3 linked regions of the Sus scrofa genome follow. Each later gene encodes a partner of the first gene's protein in a complex. Links are inferred from orthologs where the notes say so. Each region holds a gene or a part of one and is shown in the gene's direction. Other genes may lie near its edges.

Region 1 (5,854 bases):
GCAAACTATCAGAGAAGCCTGTCGTATGCTTTTCTTATTTACAAAGTAAACACATTTCTTTCTAGTATGGTACTAATTGATCCAGGATTAATTGTCATGAATATTTTATGAAATACACATATAAAAAAACCTCATCAGTTTTTTGTTAGTTGATGTATTCTGTGAAATATCAAGCTTGGTATAAGGCATTGCAATCTTTTTTTTTTGGTCTTTTTTTGTCTTTTTGTTGTTGTTGTTGTTGTTGCTATTTCTTGGGCCGCTTCCGCAGCATATGGAGGTTCCCAGGCTAGGGGTTGAATCGGAGCTGTAGCCACCGGCCTATGCTAGAGCCACAGCAATGCGGGATCCGAGCCGCGTCTGCAACCTACACCACAGCTCACGGCAACGCCGGATCGCCAACCCACTGAGCAAGGCCAGGGACCGAACCCGCAACCTCATGGCTCCTAGTCGGATTCGTTAACCACTGCGCCACGACGGGAACTCCAGGCATTGCAATCTTAATCTCTTTCTTTAGAAATTTAACAAGTCAAAAGTCAATGAAAATTACCCAAAGGATGCCTATTTTATTTCTTCATTTCCTCTAATGTATGAAACTATTCAAATATCCCTTATTGTTCAAGCAACTCAAAATCTGCTTAGTTTCCATTAATTCTTTAAAAAGAGAACTATTCTGGGGATTCATAATTTAATAACAGGCTACTTTGATAATGTGCTCATTTAACCAGTGGATTCCAAAGTGATGGAATGTATGTATGGCAACCTATTTGTTGCATGGGAAGAAAATGCATAAATTAGTATTTTTTATCTCACCTTTTAAAGGTTCTATTTCTTGCGGAAGTTTTTATAGCATGCATAATATGTATCTATATCATACATAGTATATGTTTATAGTCAAATTTTCTTTTCTGATGGGAATGTGATCAAGAGTTTGAAGACCATTGCTTTAGACTGCCCTTAATTAGTCTGGTTATGGAACACATCAAATCTAGGTGACTCACCTGAGACTCACTGCTTTGTGGAGGAAAGGTACTTGGGTGGTAGACTGGAACCTGGGACCCTTTACCAGAGTGCTTGCACCTGAACAAATAACTCTTCCAAGACCAGGAAGAAAACTATAAGGGACTAAAAATAATTGCATGCATGTGGCAGTTGGGGGCAATTATGAACCAAAAGATATAAAGAGGCCAAAGCCCAACTACTGGTTCAGGGGTGCCAGGACCAAAAGCAGTGGACTGCACATGATCCCTGCACAAAGTACCACCAAAGAAGTGGGCAGACCATTTCAGCTATGCCTCCTGCTCAATTCATGGACGGGGCCTCTCTTGTTAACTCATTTAAGGACTCAAACAGCGAGCAAGGGCACCTGTTTCTTATTTTCCTTATAGTCTTGCTTGGAATTTTTGGCCTCTTAGCAATTTCTGTTGATTAGAGTCTAGGGACTCAGGCGGGTAACACTGGGACTTCACGCTTAACGTTAAAAAAGTAATCATGCATAGCAGTGAGGACAATGGAATGGTCAAGATGAAAATAAGGTAACTGGCCTTTATTGAACACTTTAACAAAATGCCAGACTATTCTGAGTGGTTTATATTGTGATAAGAGGAGTTCCCGTTGGGGCTCAGTGGTAATGAACCCGACTAGTATCCATGAGGATGTGGGTTCCATCCTTGGCCTGGCTTAGTGGGTTATGGATCTGGCATTGCCTTGAGCTGTGGTGTCGGCCACAGAGGAGGCTTGGATCCGGCCTTGCTGTGGCTGTGGTGTAGACCGGCAGCTGCAGCTCCAGTTCCACCCCTAGCCTGGGGATGTCCATGTGTGTGGGCCTAAAAAGCAAAAAACAAAAACTATATATCCATCCTTATGAGAAATCTATTAAGTAAATTATTATTATCGTACTACTAAAATCCGAGAGCAAAGACCACTACATTTTTTTCTTAGCACTGCATTCCCTGGAGCACAGTAAGCAGTTCATAAATATTTGGTGAATTAAAAAAAATTTTTTTGCCAAATTTCTCCGCCAAATGGGGCAAGATGGACTTGAGGGCTAGAATGGGGCTCAGATGGCCCGTGGTTCTGCATCCTTGGATGTGAACCCAAGCGCCGATCCCTGCGAGGAGCAACGTGAACCAGAGGTTTAAATTTCCTCGGCAGCCACTGCGGGACTGAATGTGTGTTGAGGGCTCATGGCGCGCAGAAAACAAAAAGCGGGGATCTGAGGAGACAAGTCCCCTCCCGGCGCGGGTCCACCTGCAGAGACGCCAGGCACCAACCTGCACCTCGCTCGCCCGGGTCCGGGGTCCGCCAGCGGCGGGCTCGTCCCGACGCTCTAGCCCACGGGGAGGCGACGCCGGAAGTCTCGACTGCTCTCCGCGGGGCGGGGCCGCCCGCCGGCCTCCGCGCTCCCCCCGCCCCGCGGCTCCCACCGGACGTCCGGGAGGAGCCCTCCCGCTCTCCGCGGCGGCGTGGTAAGCCGGGAGGCTGGCACTGCCCGCGGAGGGAGTCGGGTCTCGGCCGCCCCAGGAGTGGGTGTTCCTGCAGCGCCGGGGGCCGCGACCGCGTCCCGGGTGGGCTGTGGCCAGGGGAGTCCCCTCCGGGGTCACCTCCGGGTTGTCACCGGCCTCGACCTCCCTCCGTTGCAAGGTTGGCACCTGCGGGGCCCTGGTGGGCTCAGCTCCTCGCGACGCTGTAAGGTGCCCCCTCCTGTGTGTCTCACCGTGGTCTTGCCCTGGGGTTTCGTTGAGCGTTCCCGGGAGCACATTTGTAAAGAAGTGGACCTGGGCCCTTTGTCCGTGGCCCCAGTTTGCAGCAGCCAGAGGAGGACCCTGCCTAGATGGCTGTAGAAAAGAGCTGTTTGGCTCAGTGGTCATAATACCTTTTGGCCCCGTCACGTTTGAGCCCCACACGGGGGCTGACCATAGAAGTGAGTTTCAGTGTAAGTGAGTTTCAGGTGTGTGTGTATGTATGTGTGTGTGAGAGAGAGGAATTTTAAAATTCACAAAGATTCTTATATTTTGAAATTTCCTTTTTTTTTTTTTTCCGTCTTCCCCTAATTCCTCCTCATTCTCACCTGAGTACTGCTCCGCTTCCCTTTTATTAAAAATAGCAACTCTTTACTTAGACTTTATACATTTAAAACACAGATCTGTGTTCATCCTCTGCTTAAAGTCTTACTGGCCTCCCCATTGATTGAGGATAATAGAAATTCCTTAGGCTGGCTTCAAGACCCTGCAGGGCCTTGCTTCTGATGAATTTTTCGGTCTTATCTCCTTTCACCAAACACACAAACACCCTGTATACCACCCCCGCCGCATGCCAACCTGCAGTCATTTCGTCTCTTTGGATATGACAGTTTTATAATGATTTACCCACATTTGGAAATTTATTTTTCTATTCAGTCAGAATTTATTGAACCCTGATATTGCCAGGCACTGTTTTAGGAGCTGAGGATATAATGGGAAAAAAAAACAAAAGCACACCCCAATCCAGTCTTTTTTTTTTTTTTTTTGCTTTTTCTTTTTTTGCTTTTTAGGGCCGAAAGTGTGGCATATGAAAGTTCCCAGACTAGGGGTTGAATCCAAGCTACAGCTGCCAGACTACGCCATAGCCACAGCAACACCATATCTGAGCTGCATCTGTGACTTGTACCACAGCTCCTGGCAATGCCAGATCCCGACCCACTGATCGAGGCCAAGGATCCAACCTGCATCCTCATGGATACTAGTCGGATTCATTTCTGCTGTGCCACAATGAGAACTCCCCAAGCTACAGTCTTTTTGGGGAAAAACAAAAAAACAAACCAGATTGAGATATAGGTCACATACCTAGAACTTTACAATATACTTTGGTTTTTCGTGCATTCACAAATTTGTACAAGCAATACCACGATCAATTTTGAAAAGTTTTTATCACCCCCAGAACAAGCCCTGTGCCCATTAGCAGTCTCATGATTTCCTCCTTACTCACTCCCACTCCTCCCCACTCTTAGCCCTAAGGGGCTACTGATCTACTGGGTGTATATATTTGCCTATTCTGAACATTTCATACAATGAAATTGTAAACTATGTGGTCTTTCTTGATTGTCTTTTTTCACTTTTAACAATCATGTTCATCCATGTTATAGCATGTATCAGCACTTCATTCCTTTTTTATTGCTAGGTAATATTTCATTGTATGGATATACCACCATTTATCCATTGGTCAGTTATGGACATTTGGGTTGTTCTGGCTGTTATGAATAACGCTGCTGTGAACATTTATGTGTACAAGTTTTTGTGTCATCATCATGATTTAATTTCTCTTGGTATATAGCTAAGGGAATTGCTGGGTCTCATGGTAACTCTGTGTTTAACATTTTAAGGAACTTCCAAACTGGTTTTTAAAGGAGCTGCACTGTTTTATGTTCCTGTCAGCAGTGTATGAATCTTCTCTGACTTTTTCAGGTCCTTGCCAATACTTGTCATTATCTGTTCTTTGGTTTTGTGTTTTCAGTTCTAGCCGTCCTGGTGGGTAGGAATTGGTATCTTGTTGCAATTTTGATTTGCATTTTCCTGGTGGTTAACGATGTTGAGCATCTTTTCATGTGCTGCTGGCCATTTCTGTGTCTTCTTTGGAGAAATGTCTGTTCATATCATTTGTCCATTTAAAAATTAGGCTGCTTGCTTTTTATCACTGAGTCGTAAGATTTCCATATATACTCTAGATACAAGTCCCTTATATATATGACAGTCTTGTGGAGTGGTTCCTTTAGATAGAAAGCACATGAGATTAATTACCACTCTTCTGGAGACATGTTAGAGGTCAGTGGGTAATTCAGAGTGAGTTGAACTAAGCTGCTGTGTGTGCAAGACCAGGCCCAGCAAAGTGTGAAGAACCTGTGAGCAGCATTTTAAGATTTGGAATGAAGCAGGGGGAAGAGTTTATATAATTTGTTAATTCTTGATTGAGTGTTGTCTTTGCCTTGTTGATCTGTAGGAGTTCTTCCTATAGAGGTATTAACCCTTTGTTAGATTTGGGGTGAATATTTGCAGTCTATCTGCCTGTTAAATTTACTTTGTATCTTTTACTAATGCTTTGCATTTTTGTGTCCTCAGGACTGTCAGTCTTCCTTTAAAAGGCTTCTCAGTGGTAGCTTGCTATCCTGTTCCTAAACCATGGGAGTTACAGAAACTGACAGTAGTTTCTTGGTTAAGGGGACATCTGAGTCCCTGGTACTATTTATTTAAAATTTAATTTTATTGGAGTATAGTTGATTACAATGTTGTATCTGGTATTATATTTAATTTTATAGGCAGGTCTTATTTTATTGTGCTTCATTCTGTTGTGCTTTGGCGTTAACTGTGTTTTTTACAGCTTGAAGGTCTGCGGCATCCCCGCACTGAGCAAGCCGTTTTTCCAAGAGCATCTGCTCACTTTGTGTCTCCGTGTTACGTGGTGGTGATTGTCACAATATTTTCACCTTTTTCATTATGAATCTCTTGTTCCGGCGGCCTGTCGTTAGTGATCCTTGGCATTGCTTTGGGGTGCCATGAACGACGGTGAACTTAACTGTGCCTCTGTCTTCTGCCTGCTCTACCCCCTGACCATTACCCTGTTTCTCTCCCTCTCCTCGGGCCTCCCTATCCCCCGAGATGACAGCGCTATGGAAATTAGGCTAGTTAATGATCCTCCAACGAGTCACAGGTTCAAGTGAAAGAACGTGTGGCCCTTCCTCCCTCTGAGTCTAACGCTTGGAGAGGGAAGCATGTCAGAAGCCAAGGCAGGCCGAAAGCACCAGATAGCCAAGCTGTGACGGCAAAGGAACCGCTCTTGCGGGAGGTTAAAAGTGCCCATCCAGCGAACACGCGAATGAAAAGAA
Region 2 (6,043 bases), on another chromosome or scaffold:
AGGAAGGGAAAGGCTGTCTACTGGACTGTTGCTAAAACATTTTTTACCTAGAGCACTCGGCACACACAAAAACAATTCCCTCTCTTTTTGTCTTTTTTGGGCCGTACCTGTGGCATATGGAGCTTCCTAGGCTAGGGGTCGAATCTGAGCTGTAGCTGCTGGCCTACGCCACAGCCATAGCAATGCAGGATCCAAACTGTTTCTTCGACCTCCACCACAGCTCATGGCGACACCAGATCCTTAACCCACTGAGTGAAGCCAGGGATCGAACCCGAGTCCTCATGGATGCTAGTGGGGTTCGTTAACCATTGAGCCACGGGAACTCCAGAAACAATTCTCTTTTAAATTAGACTTTTTTTCCCTTTTTTCTTTTTATGGCCACATCTGCCTGAGCAAGGGGGTGACTCAGAGCTGCAGCTGCCGGCCTGTGCCACAACCATAGCAACACTGGATCTGAGCTGCATCTGCAACCTACACCACAGCTTTTGGCAATGCCAAATCCTTAACCCACTGAGCAAGGCCAGGGATCGCACCCACAACCTCATGGATACTAGCTAGGTTCTTAACCCACTGAGCCACAATGGAAACTCCTAAATTAGACCTTTTTTTTGAGCGTAAAAATTACTTATGTTCACAGAAGAATGTCAAAGAATGTCATGTTTCAAATGCTTTAAGGGACTACATTGCAGGTTGCTTGGTGTTGTTATTCCATGCCTTATGCTTCTTTACTGTCCTGAACCACATGCGTAATAACCAGAACAGCCTCCAACCTTTTGGGCGGTGGAAGAAAATGGCCATCTTAGCAAACAACAACGCCCTGAGGCCCAGAGACTTGCACCAGATCTGCTGTGGGAAATCCAGATCACGTTTCACAGAGTCTCAGTTTCTTTATTTAAAATGAAATAACAACTATCCTACCTGGGATCAAAGAGGGAGAAAGGTCGACAGGGTCCAATGATATGTCAAAAGGCTTGGAAGTAAACCTAAGAGAGCACTCCGGCCAATGGGCCAATTAGAGCAGCAGTTTGTGTCCGTAATAAAGTTTTACTGGAACACAGCTGTGCTAGGTCCACATCTGGTCTATGGCTGCTTTTGGATTTAGGTTGAATAGTTACTACAGACCATATGGTCAGCAAACACGGAAGTATTTGCTATCTGGCCCTTTGCAAACAATGAACTGCTGACTTCGGCTCCAGGCCACTCTGAGTGTTTAACAACTTGCAAGTGTGCACTGATTACGGAGTCAAAAAGGGCCTGTGGAGAACTTACAACTGTGCATCATCAGTACATACAGAGCACCTGTGGCTCAGAAAAGTAAAATGATACATCTAAGGCCACACGCATTCAGTGAGGAATTCTGGAGCACACCAGTGCTACCACCCGACCCAAACGCAGCAGGGTAGAGAGAGACTGAGGCCATTTAGCGCCAGTCTCAAGTTCAAATGGCTGCTCTTCTAATGTGTGCAAAGGGTAGGTCAGGGTAAGCTTCATCACAACGGTTCATCTTGAGACCTATCCGTGCTCGTGGCAGCAAAATCTGGAAATGGAAAGCAAGTTTCCAGGAGTCCAAGAAGGTTCTCGGCAGGCAGCCTGTGGCAATCTAGGTTTCCTCTATCACCCCCTTCCACTGCAAGGCTAGAGCAGGGAGTGGCGGTGGCAGCGAATACTTACTGAGTATTATTGAGCACAGTCTACCGTATGTAAGATAACTTTCAAGAACTTAAATGATTTCATCCATTCATTCAAACATCACATGGAACAGGTAGACGCCCCATTTAAAGCCACAGATGCTGAGGCTCTGAGGTTAACTAACTTGCTCAAGTCACACAGCTGTCAAGCAGAGACTCTGCTAGGTCTGTTTGGCCTGGAAACCTATGTCTTTCATGTCAGGCTACAGGCGCAGACCACAGGTGATAGGTCTGAAGAGGGCACACAAGCTGGTAAACCCGGCTGATCCGGGATTCAAACCCAGGGGTGCTGATGAGAGTCCAGAACTGCGTTTTCCAATCAAAGTTCCTTGCTCTCAAGAGTTCCTAGCCTGTCCCTTCTCTCCGAGGACCCTGAAGTCTCGAAAAGCTGGTGAGAGCTTTCGTCTCATGACTCCAAGGAACCCAGAGTAAAGTTCAGCCCCTCCGTGGGAGGTAGGCGGTCCTTAGCCGCCCCAGGTCGCCTACCTGGACGGTCATTACACCCACCGGGGAGCCGTAGGGAGTTTTGCACCGCTTACCTGCCTGGGAGCGGTCAGAGTCCCGTCCACGTCGAAGAGGCAGAGCGCTGGGCCGGGAGCAGCCATGACCCCAGTTTCCACGTAAACCTTACACGACTTACTGGCACCTGGCACCCGGCCCGGAACTTCCGGGTCCGGCCCCCGTGCCGCAGGGCACGCCGGGAAGAGAATTCCCCTCCCGCAGTGCCCGAGACTAGCGTCGGCTTTGCTGGCTGGACTACAGATCCCAGAATGCAGCGCGCCCCCACGCTGTCCCATTAGGGCGGAGGACACGTTCTCGGAGATTCCCGGAACGCGAGGGACTCGCTTCCAGCTGCAGGCTGCGGGGCCATGGTAAGAAGGCAATTGGTGGCAAGAAAGGGAGGGGTCGTGCTTTGGGGGTCGGAGTCAGGCCCCGGGCAGGCCTGCGGACGCCTTAGGTTCTGATTCGGAGAATCCGGAGGAGGGACCTCCGACGTGGGTTCCCCGCCGTCCTATGCCCCCTAGGTCACGTGGGCCAACTAAAATTTAGCATTCACCGTGCATTACTGCATTTAAAGGCTTTAAAACTGTTACCTTCTTCAGTATGTTACGGATACCCACTTTGATAGAGAAACCAGGGCCCAGAGAGGTGGAGTAATTTGCCCAACGATCCACAGCCGGTGACTGTAGGAGCCAGGGTTGGAACCCAAAACTGGCTTCAAAGCTCAAAGCACCTTTCGGTGCAATATTCAAGGTGTAGAACTGTGCATCTAATAAAACCCTTGTGCTATGAGTTGACGCCTCCATCCCTTCCTCCTCCATTCTATCCCTTCCCTCAATCCAGGCCAAGAAAACAGCGTTTACGTTCTGCCCCCAAGATGACGCTTTTAACCTAACCGAGAATTCTACAGTTATTATGATGATTAGCTAGCGGATTTGTTCCCCACTGGGACACTGATTTAGTTTCCTGCTTGAGGAAGTGTTCACACAGGCCGTGGATCCGGTATCCAGCCAGAACCGGCCCTCCTTGGGTATGTGCTGAATGAATGAAGCCTGCGCCTACTTGAGCTGCCTGGAGGAAAGAGGTTGGGTTTGAAAGTTAGACTGCCCTACTCCCTGACTGTGTGTCTTTGGGTAAATTTCTCACCTTCTCTGGGCTTAGTTTCCTCAGTGGTAAAGTAGAAGCAGTGGTTCCTTTAGCACACAGCTTCCCTGACTATCACGTGAGGTAGAGGTAAAGCCTCTGATTTCAGCTTTCTTTCCATCTCTGGCAATCATGCTGACCTCACCAGGCTGGCAGGATCCTCTGTAGCAGATGTTTTGCATGTGGTCCTTGTGTGATTAGCTTGGCTGAGTTCCAGAGAGAAATGGTCTCCCTGTCTCCTTTCCAGGCTGCCCTGCTCCGAGCTGTGCTGTGGTCACCAAGGCAGGCTGCATGGGGAAGGCCTTTCCACAGGCTGTGGCGCTGCAGTGGGCAGGATCCTAGGAGGTGGGCGGGGAGCAGGCCTCTGCCATCCAAGAAGAACCCGCTGGGCACAGAGACTGAGAAATTTCAGATGGTGTACCGGTTTGATGCCATCAGGGTCTTCGGGTACCTCTCTCAGCTGAAGGTGGCACAGACAGCGTTGACAGTGGTGGCCCTGCCGCCTGGCATCTACTGGTACTCCCAGGGCCTCATGACCTTCAACTCCCTGTGCCTGGCAGGCGCAGTTGCCAGCTTCGCGCTGGCCATGTTGTGCTGGATGAGCCATTTCTTCCGGAGGCTGGTGGGCATCCTCTATGTGAATGAATCAGGCACGGTGCTGCGGGTGGCCCACCTGACCTTCTGGGGCCGGCGACAGGACACGTACTGCCCCGTGGCCGACGTGGTCCCCATGACAGAAAGCCACGATCGGCCTCAGGAGCTGTTTGTGCGGATCCGGCAGTACAGTGGGAAACAGACCTTCTATCTCACCCTACGCTACGGACGCATCCTGGACCGGGAGCGTTTCATGCAGGTGTTTGGGGCGCTGGACTCACTCAAGTGAAGGACTGGGAGCCAGGCCGCCTGGGTCTCCCGTAGGAAGGCTCAGGGAAGGGTGAGGCTGAAGTGGGGAAGTCAGGCAGCTGGAAACTGTCAGGACCCCAGGGACTTGTCTTCTGGAATTGAGAAATTCACAAGGTAGAAGCTAGCAACCAGGTTTAGGAAAGAGGCCCTGAGTGCAAATTCTTAACTGCACTTATGTATGACATTGACAACGGCCAGAAGTTTCTGTTAAGAGCCAGATCTTGGAGGAAGCTATGCCAGGCTCGTTCCAACAGTGCACTGCTGGGAAATCAAAGACAGAGAGGTGGGGGTGTGTCAGAAGACCTGGGTCCCTCCATTCTCAAATCCCTGTCCTGAGGCGGGTTATCAAGTCTCTCAGATTGTTCTCACATTTTGTAAAGTGGAAAAATCCTGTCTCCTGGGATGGGTGTGAAAATAAACGATATCACTTAGTGCAGAGTTGCTAGTGCTGCAAAAGGCTTCTATGCCTGTGCTGCGCCCCCTGGTGGCCCCAGATCCGAAGGGACTGGGATGAAGCCTGGAGGTGGGTCCTTGGCGCCAGCCCCTCAGGGCACAGGGTCTGGGGTGGGGGTGTCCTCCAAGCAAGTTCACATCCAGAGGTCTAGGGGCTCTCACATGGGCAGGCTCTGCAACGTGATAAAGTCAGATGAGTGATATGCTGGAGCCGTACTTTATAAACTAAAGCTAGCTATATGCAGTGCCCCTGGTAATTAGTAATATGTTTACTACATAATCTGTAACAAAGGGCAAGTCATGATCTTTATAATTCTGCCACTGAAAAGTCAAAAATCACTAGGATTTGTTTTGTGGCCTTCTAGTCTTTTTTAAGAACTGTAGTAAAACAAACATAAATGTATCCTTTCAACCATTTCAAAGTGTACAATAAGTGATATTAAGTACATTTACAGGGAGTTCCCGTCGTGGTGCAGTGGTTAACGAATCCCACTAGGAACCATGAGGTTTCGTGTTCGATCCCTGGCCTCGCTCAGTGGGTTAAGGATCTGGCGTTGCCGTGAGCTGTGGTGTAGGTCGCAGACTCGGCTCGGATCCCAAACTGCCGTGGCTCTGGTGTAGGCCGGCGGCTACAGCTCCGATTCGACCCCTAGCCTGGGAAGCTCCATATGCCGCAGGAGCAGCCCAAGAAATGGCAAAAGAAATTTAAAAAAATTAAAAATTAAAAAATACATTTACAGTGTTGTTCAACCGTCACAACTCTTCATTTCCAGAACTTGTTCACAATTCCAACCAGAAACGTGGTACACATTAAACTGTAACTCCCCAGCTCCCCTCTTTTCCAGTCCCGGCAGCCACAAATCTGCTTTCTGACTCTATGGATTTGCCTATTCTGGACATTTCATATAAACGGAATCATATACTAAGGTGGCATGTTGTGTCTGGCTTCTTTCACGTGGCATAATTTTTCAGGGTTCATCCATGTTGTAGCATGTGCCAGAGCTCCATTCCTTTCTTTTTTTTTTTTTCTTTTTTGCCACACAGGCAGTATGTGGGAATTCCTGGGCCAGGGATTGAACCTACGCCGCACAGCAGCAACAAGAGCCACAGCGGTGAGAACGCAGGAGCCTCAACCCGCTAGGCCATCAGAGAACTCCCTCCATTCCTTTCTAACGTATAGAATGTCTGTCTCTATCCCATTTTATTTATCCAGTCATCTCTTGATGGACATTTTGATAGTCTCCACGTTTTGGCTATTGTGAATAATGCTGCTCTGTACACTGGGGTACAAATATCTGAGTTCCTGCTTTCAATTCTCTCTCTCTCTTTTTTTGGCCTTGTCCACGGTGTGTGGA
Region 3 (5,999 bases), on another chromosome or scaffold:
ATTTTGTCATAAGGCTTGTGATTTGTCTAACATTATAGCTGTTGTTAAGAATTGACTATTACTGTGTTACTAAGGGACAGGACTGCTTCTGAAACCTGAGTAAGTGGGGTAACAGGTCCTAGGATGAATGTAAGACATAGTTCTGGAGATTCCGGTGGAATATATAACTTAAGTAGTTGAGCTGATAAGTAACAGAATACTTTTTTATGCTTAAACATAGATATTTGGTTTATTAGAAGGCATAATATGTGTGACTTTTTGTGTCCACAAATTGAGAAGACTTACAACCAAAAAGGCAGTGCTCAAGAATGAAAACGGTAAACTCTGGTCATGGCACAGAGGAAATGAATCTGACTAGTATCCATGAGGACACAGGCTTGATACCTGGCCTTGCTCAGCGGGTTAAGGATCTGGTGTTGCTGTGAGTTGAGGTGTAGGTCACAGACCCAGCTCGGATCCAGCGTTGCTGTGGCTGTGGTGTAGGCCATCAGCTACAGTTTCAATTAAACCCCCAGCCTGGGCACTTCCATATGCCCCAGGTGCAGCCCTAAAAAGACAAAAAAAAAAAAAAGAATGCAAACGGTCTTTAGCATTAACCCTCCACCTGCTAATCTAACTGGAATGATGGGTGCAGAGCTAAGAACAGCTCACGATAAAAGAGGGATTTAATACGGTATCACAATAGTATTCAGATGCTTTTGACAAACTGGGTCTCTCACTTTGTGAAGTAAGCCATTAACCTTGGAGTTAAGCTGCCAAGTTCCTTTTGGAAAGCAACTGCTTCCTCCTGTCCCCTGTTCCTTCCTCATCTCACCCTTCAAAGCTGCCTTTTCTCATTGTAGAAGAGGGGCACTCTTCAATTCCAGGGTACTCCGTAAGAAATGGAGCAGAGATGAGCCCCCCAGACACCAGAACTTGATACCATACGCCCCGCCCTAGCGCCTGGGCAGGAAAACGGCAGAAAAGGACTAGGGGCTGAGCACTAACGGGTGTCTGTCTAGAAAGCAACCCTCCTAGGTTTGCTTTGGAAAGCAGACTGGCCTTGAGGTCGGAAGTGCAGCTCCCAGACCAACCTGCCTAACAAAGAGTTATCTGGTTAGGGGTTGAGCCTTCCATTCACAAACCGCGCTCAGGAGAAAAAACATTTTTAAGAGTATATTCTACTTCTCTAGGATATAAAGTCAAGAAAAAGACAAAATGTGATTCCTGGTGCCAGAATAAGGAAGCAACTTCGGGAACACGTTCCGTAGAGGGGGCCGCTCGCACCTACCTCCGCAGGTGGAGCGCATCAACGCTGCGCCTCTCCCGAGGGCTGCTCGGGGTCTCGGGCTTACACGCCCCAGCTTCGGGCAGGGCCCATTAACTTAATGAACTGAGGGGAAAATATTCCCGAGAAGCTCCACTACTTGAATTTATTTGGGGTAGCCCCAAGCTCCCAAGCTTTAGAAACTTTTTCCCGCCGGCCTTCCAGACATTTCTCGCGCTAAAAGCAGCGGGGCAGAACCAATGAAAATCAAAGGAAAGGGAGGCGGGGGAGTAAGAAACTTCCCTTACGGGGGACTCCCTGGGCTCACACCCCCGCCGGCAGTACCCTGCCCGCGGCCCCCGAGAGTCACCTGAACCCCGCGCTCCTGGCGGCTTCTCCCGCGCTCCCGGGGGCCCAGAAGTCGCCGCCAATCCGCGGGCGCCGAGCCAGGAGGCCGAGCCAGTACTGCTGCAGGAGCCGGCCGCGTCCAGTCGCCATGGAGACCCAGCTGGAGCACCAGCAGCGCCCTCCTCCTTCCTACCGTCGCACCGCCCAGGGTCACGCCCACTCGACGCCAGCGCACGCCCCGACGTGCGTACGCAACGGAGGGGCGGGGTCAAGAACCACACCGCCTTTCCACTCGGAGTGGTTCTAGGAACGTATGGGGCCCGGTTTCTAGCAACTGCTGGAAGTCCTGACGCCTAGCAAGTGTATCGCCTGGACTTTACGGCGGCTACGCCCTTGCCCCTCCCCCTTGCTGACTCTGGCACTTTGCGGCTGCTTCCTGTCTGATTTCCTTGGAGAAACAAATACAAAGGCTGTGACACTTGGCCTTAAGGAAAGGCATAGCCACAGTCACACCGAGAACTTCCCAGTTTACATAGCCCTCTTTAGAGGGTTGTAAGAACTTGCAGTTTCTAATTGCTAACTTGACCTTCCTAGGTGCGTTTTGTGCTACGCAGAGCAGGGAGCCCCGCCCACCGTCCCAACATGGTCTCGCCTTTCTGTCGCGCCCAGTACGTGCGGTGTGTGCGCAGGCGGCCACGCAGAGGAGCTTGGGAGGCAGCCTTGGACTGTGGGAGATGTAGGCCTAAGGCCACTGCCCTTGCAGCAACTCTGTGAGGGGTGCTGCCCTCAAACTACAATTCCCAGGATTCTTAGGGGCTTCCTAGGTTACTTTGCAAAGGCCTGGCGGGGACAATGTGAATGTCAGCATAGAAAGTAATGAAAGCACATTAATTCAAGTAAAAAGAGGGCCGGAGAGAAGGGAAAGTGGACGTCAGCTCCTTTACGGAGACTTTTTGTCTTGATTTATGCTCCTTGTTTTTTTTTTTTTGCCGGACACGCAGTGCAGAACTACCGATGTGAATGCGGACTTAAGTCCGCCTCTGGCCGGGTGTGGAGTTGGTAGTGAAGATTTGCTCATCTTAGCTGGCATCTTCCCTCAGCGGAGCGGCTTTCTGTGAACATGATTTGTACCTTACTACGAGCTGTACGGTGCACGGGAAAGCTGCACAGCTTCTCGGGGAAGCAGTTGTTTTTGCCACACTTTGTACTTAACAAAGCTTGCTTGAAGACTGTGCCCAGTTTGAGGTGGGCTCTGCAAGAGCAGAAGACGGTACGACCTAGGTGTATTTGGGGAGTCACCCAGAAGACCATCTGGACGCAAGGACAGAGCACGCAGAGAGCGAAAGAGGACAGCGACAAACAAGTGTCTGTGCACAGAAGTCAGGGCGGGGATACTGCCGTCTCAACGTCACAGAAAGGTAAAAAGGAATTCCCTGTAACTATCAGTCTTTCAGCCAACGTGACGAGAGCTGCTACTGCCCTTCTACACAAGTTCAGTGCTGAGCATAAACAGCTTACACAAATTAAAAGGTAGAACCATTACACAGTTAAGAATTAGAGCATATGAGCCTACAGGTCTTTTCACAAATTCGAACTGAAATATGAAAGTTGATTTTGATAAAACTTAGTTGAATTGTGTCTGTAAATTTTTTCTCAACTTTTACTTGTGGAAAGAACTATGTAAAACTTAACCGTTGTTTAATACTTTACAATAGATAAGTACATTTCCCAGATGTTATTTCATCTCATTTGAGTCTCACATTTACTCTTTCAGACGTTAGTATTCATTAGTATGTACGAAGCATATTTGCCCAATTTCACACAATTCAAAATTGAATGTGAGTCTTCCTTATCCTCAGTTTTCTAATATCCAGGCCAGTGCTTTTTAAAACAACCACCCCTGTGTCTTTAGTCTTTGATAACACTGTCTCTGCCATTCTCTCTTAGATGTGATACTGTTTTTGATTTACTATCTTGGTCAGTGGGAGGCAGTTTCAGAGGCTTCCATTGGATTTTTCCCATTATAGTAGCTCTTAACCCACCTCCAAAGGAAGTAAAGAAGGGCCTGTTGTTGCCAATTACCACGCATATCCATTCCATTTCTACATTGGAAATCAGGGAAATGACTATCAGAGAAGGCGGTGGACCCAGCTATGAACCTCTTCCAGGCCAGGCTCTTTATCACATTGCCACCATAATGACTCTTTAGGGTTGATGTCAGCTCAGACTCTGTCTGGCAGACCTTGAAATGTTTGGGTAGTCCCCTTTCCCAGCATGCAGTTAATGGCATAGGTCTCTGATGAAGGGCCAGGGGAATCATATATAGTTACTCAGGTGCCCCCTGATAGAGGTTGGCCTCCCTTGGGTAAATGGATTCCAGGTCTGAAGACTGACTCAGGTCGAGAAACCAAGCCATTCATTGTGATGGTTGCTTCCCCCTGGCTTCACTACCATAGCTGCCCCCATGGCTTTCAGGACAGCTTGTTCTGTGACAATGTGAACGGTGGTTTCCAGACCCTTCTACATGACAGTCAGCTGGTGGGTTTCTGCCTCTGTCCTCTCTTGCAGACCCACTCTCTGTGACTTTTGATCATTTCCTACACAGTTTTCCATGGCAGTTCTGTTATTTTTGCTTCACTTAAGGTAGACCATGCTCTCTCCATCTTTCTAAGAGCGAGCCTAGCTGTGCATCTGCTCCCAGCCCGCTTGTCAGACTTTAGTTTCTAATCTGAGGAGCGTGCTCCCTTATTGATCAAGTCTCACTTTTCCCGTTCTGTATTCTTTGCCCCTTCATGATGCCCTTCATTCTGTGTCTCCTGGCTCTGCTGGTGGAGCCTCCAGCCTGTTTAGGAGTGGCTCATGTCCTCCTTCCCCTAGTTATGTTGCAGCCTGCCTAGAGCATAGGTCTTGCTAGATGGAAGCCCCAACCAGGTCTTCAAAGAAGAGGAAGAGCTAGCCTTTCCCTGGGAGGTGAGAGCTGCTGCTTCACACTGGAGGGTTCAGGAGAATCTGCAGATTCAAGATTTGAGATGCATCAGCCTCGATACACCACTGCCAAGCTTCAGGTTCCTTCCCAAGTCATGACCCTGGCCTCGGTGTGGGAAAGCTGGTGGGATTGAAAGTCCAGCCTCTCTGCTACTCTTTAGCCTGGGCCTTGCCCTCAGTGTTTTCTGCTCTCTGGGTGCAACGAATGAGTCTCTGGTTTTGCTCTCAAGGAGGCCTCTGCCTTTTACACTTGACCTTCATTAGTGATCAGTTACCTTTGTCTTCTTTCTTCAGTGTATTGGTGGCCCTCAACTACAGCCATCCAATCTGAGCCCTTCCAATTGCTTATTTCTCCTAAATTCCCAAAATATGACACCCACTAGGGCATTCCCTCCCACCAGTTTCCCAGGTCATCTGTGAGAGGCGAGACAGTTGTGCTATCACTGCTTGCCACCAGGGGTGGAGTCCTCAAGGCCAGCCGGCAGCCAGTGATGCAGCTCCAAAATCCCAATTTGGAGCACCTTCCCAGGACCACTCCTGCAGGCCCCACCGTAGGGCGAGTTCCAAGGAAGCCAACTCTGTACAGTTCGTCAGCGGGAGGTTTGAGGGCGTGTTTTCAGAATGCCTCTGTGAGGGCGAGGGAGGCAGGACTGGGCAGAAGGAGAAGCTGAAGCACAGGGTGTTTGCCTCAGCTGTTTCTGCAGGAGCTCAGGAACTGGGCTGGCCCTTGAAGTCCTCATCTCCAGGGGTGGGGGGCATCCACACCAGCCAAGCACTGGATATGGGCAGCGCCAGGGCTTTGGTGAGCAGGCTCTCTTCAGGTGCAGGAATTCCGTCAGCCAGCCAGCAGCCCGAGGGACTCCCCATGCTGGGGGAATGAGAGCCTCGGTCCTGAGAGGAGCATGTGGGTGCTCACCATAGCACCCCTAATTGCAGAGACAGATGGCACAAGGGTTTTGTATGAAAGTGTAGAGTCTGAAAGGGTCAAGGAGAGGAAGTAGGCAAAGAGCAGCTTCCACTGAAGACAACTATGAAATAACACTTAAGCTTTAAAAATGTGTGGATGGTGGGCTTTACATAGAATATATACAGTAGACATTTGTGGTTGAATTAATGGGGAAGAGGCCTCCCGGAAAGTCTAAGTGAGGCAGCAGTGACTGTGCTGGGAGGGCAGCCTCGCCATGACATGAGCCTTGCTCAGTGACTGTGTGGATCAGGCCCATGAACTACACATATTTTGGCAGATGCAATCTTTTTGTTATTTGAATCGCATCTTTTTAGTTAGGAATCCATACTGAAAGCTGGAAGGATTGCACTGTGCTAAAGAGTACTCTTAAATAAGTGTTATTTCAGAGTTCCCTTCATGGCTCAGTGGTTAACAAACCCAACTAGGAACCATGAGGATGCGAGTTCAATCCCT

The links. The genes of interacting proteins can lie anywhere in the genome.
Region 2: cytochrome c oxidase assembly factor 1 homolog (region 1) and TMEM186 share a complex: the UniProt entries of both Homo sapiens proteins name them as parts of the mitochondrial complex. The link is inferred for Sus scrofa from reciprocal best matches to the Homo sapiens genes COA1 and TMEM186.
Region 3: cytochrome c oxidase assembly factor 1 homolog (region 1) and TIMM21 share a complex: the UniProt entries of both Homo sapiens proteins name them as parts of the MITRAC (mitochondrial translation regulation assembly intermediate of cytochrome c oxidase complex) complex. The link is inferred for Sus scrofa from reciprocal best matches to the Homo sapiens genes COA1 and TIMM21.

The regions. Positions count from the first base shown.
Region 1 is NC_010460.4:51,218,515-51,224,368, forward strand, and holds the start of cytochrome c oxidase assembly factor 1 homolog, read left to right. Parts: upstream 1-2,244; 5' UTR 2,245-2,465; intron 2,466-5,854. UniProt on the Homo sapiens protein: Component of the MITRAC (mitochondrial translation regulation assembly intermediate of cytochrome c oxidase complex) complex, that regulates cytochrome c oxidase assembly.
Region 2 is NC_010445.4:33,890,090-33,896,132, forward strand, and holds TMEM186 (transmembrane protein 186), read left to right. Parts: upstream 1-2,425; 5' UTR 2,426-2,557; coding exon 2,558-2,560; intron 2,561-2,590; exon of another isoform or gene 2,591-3,219; intron 3,220-3,579; coding exon 3,580-4,215; 3' UTR 4,216-5,438; downstream 5,439-6,043. Other genes in the region: PMM2 (phosphomannomutase 2), read right to left, coding at 2,228-2,293. UniProt on the Homo sapiens protein: As part of the MCIA complex, required for efficient assembly of the mitochondrial complex I.
Region 3 is NC_010443.5:149,852,286-149,858,284, reverse strand, and holds the start of TIMM21 (mitochondrial import inner membrane translocase subunit Tim21), read left to right. Parts: upstream 1-2,381; 5' UTR 2,382-2,714; coding exon 2,715-3,012; intron 3,013-5,999. Other genes in the region: FBXO15 (F-box only protein 15), read right to left, coding at 1,617-1,744. UniProt on the Homo sapiens protein: Participates in the translocation of transit peptide-containing proteins across the mitochondrial inner membrane.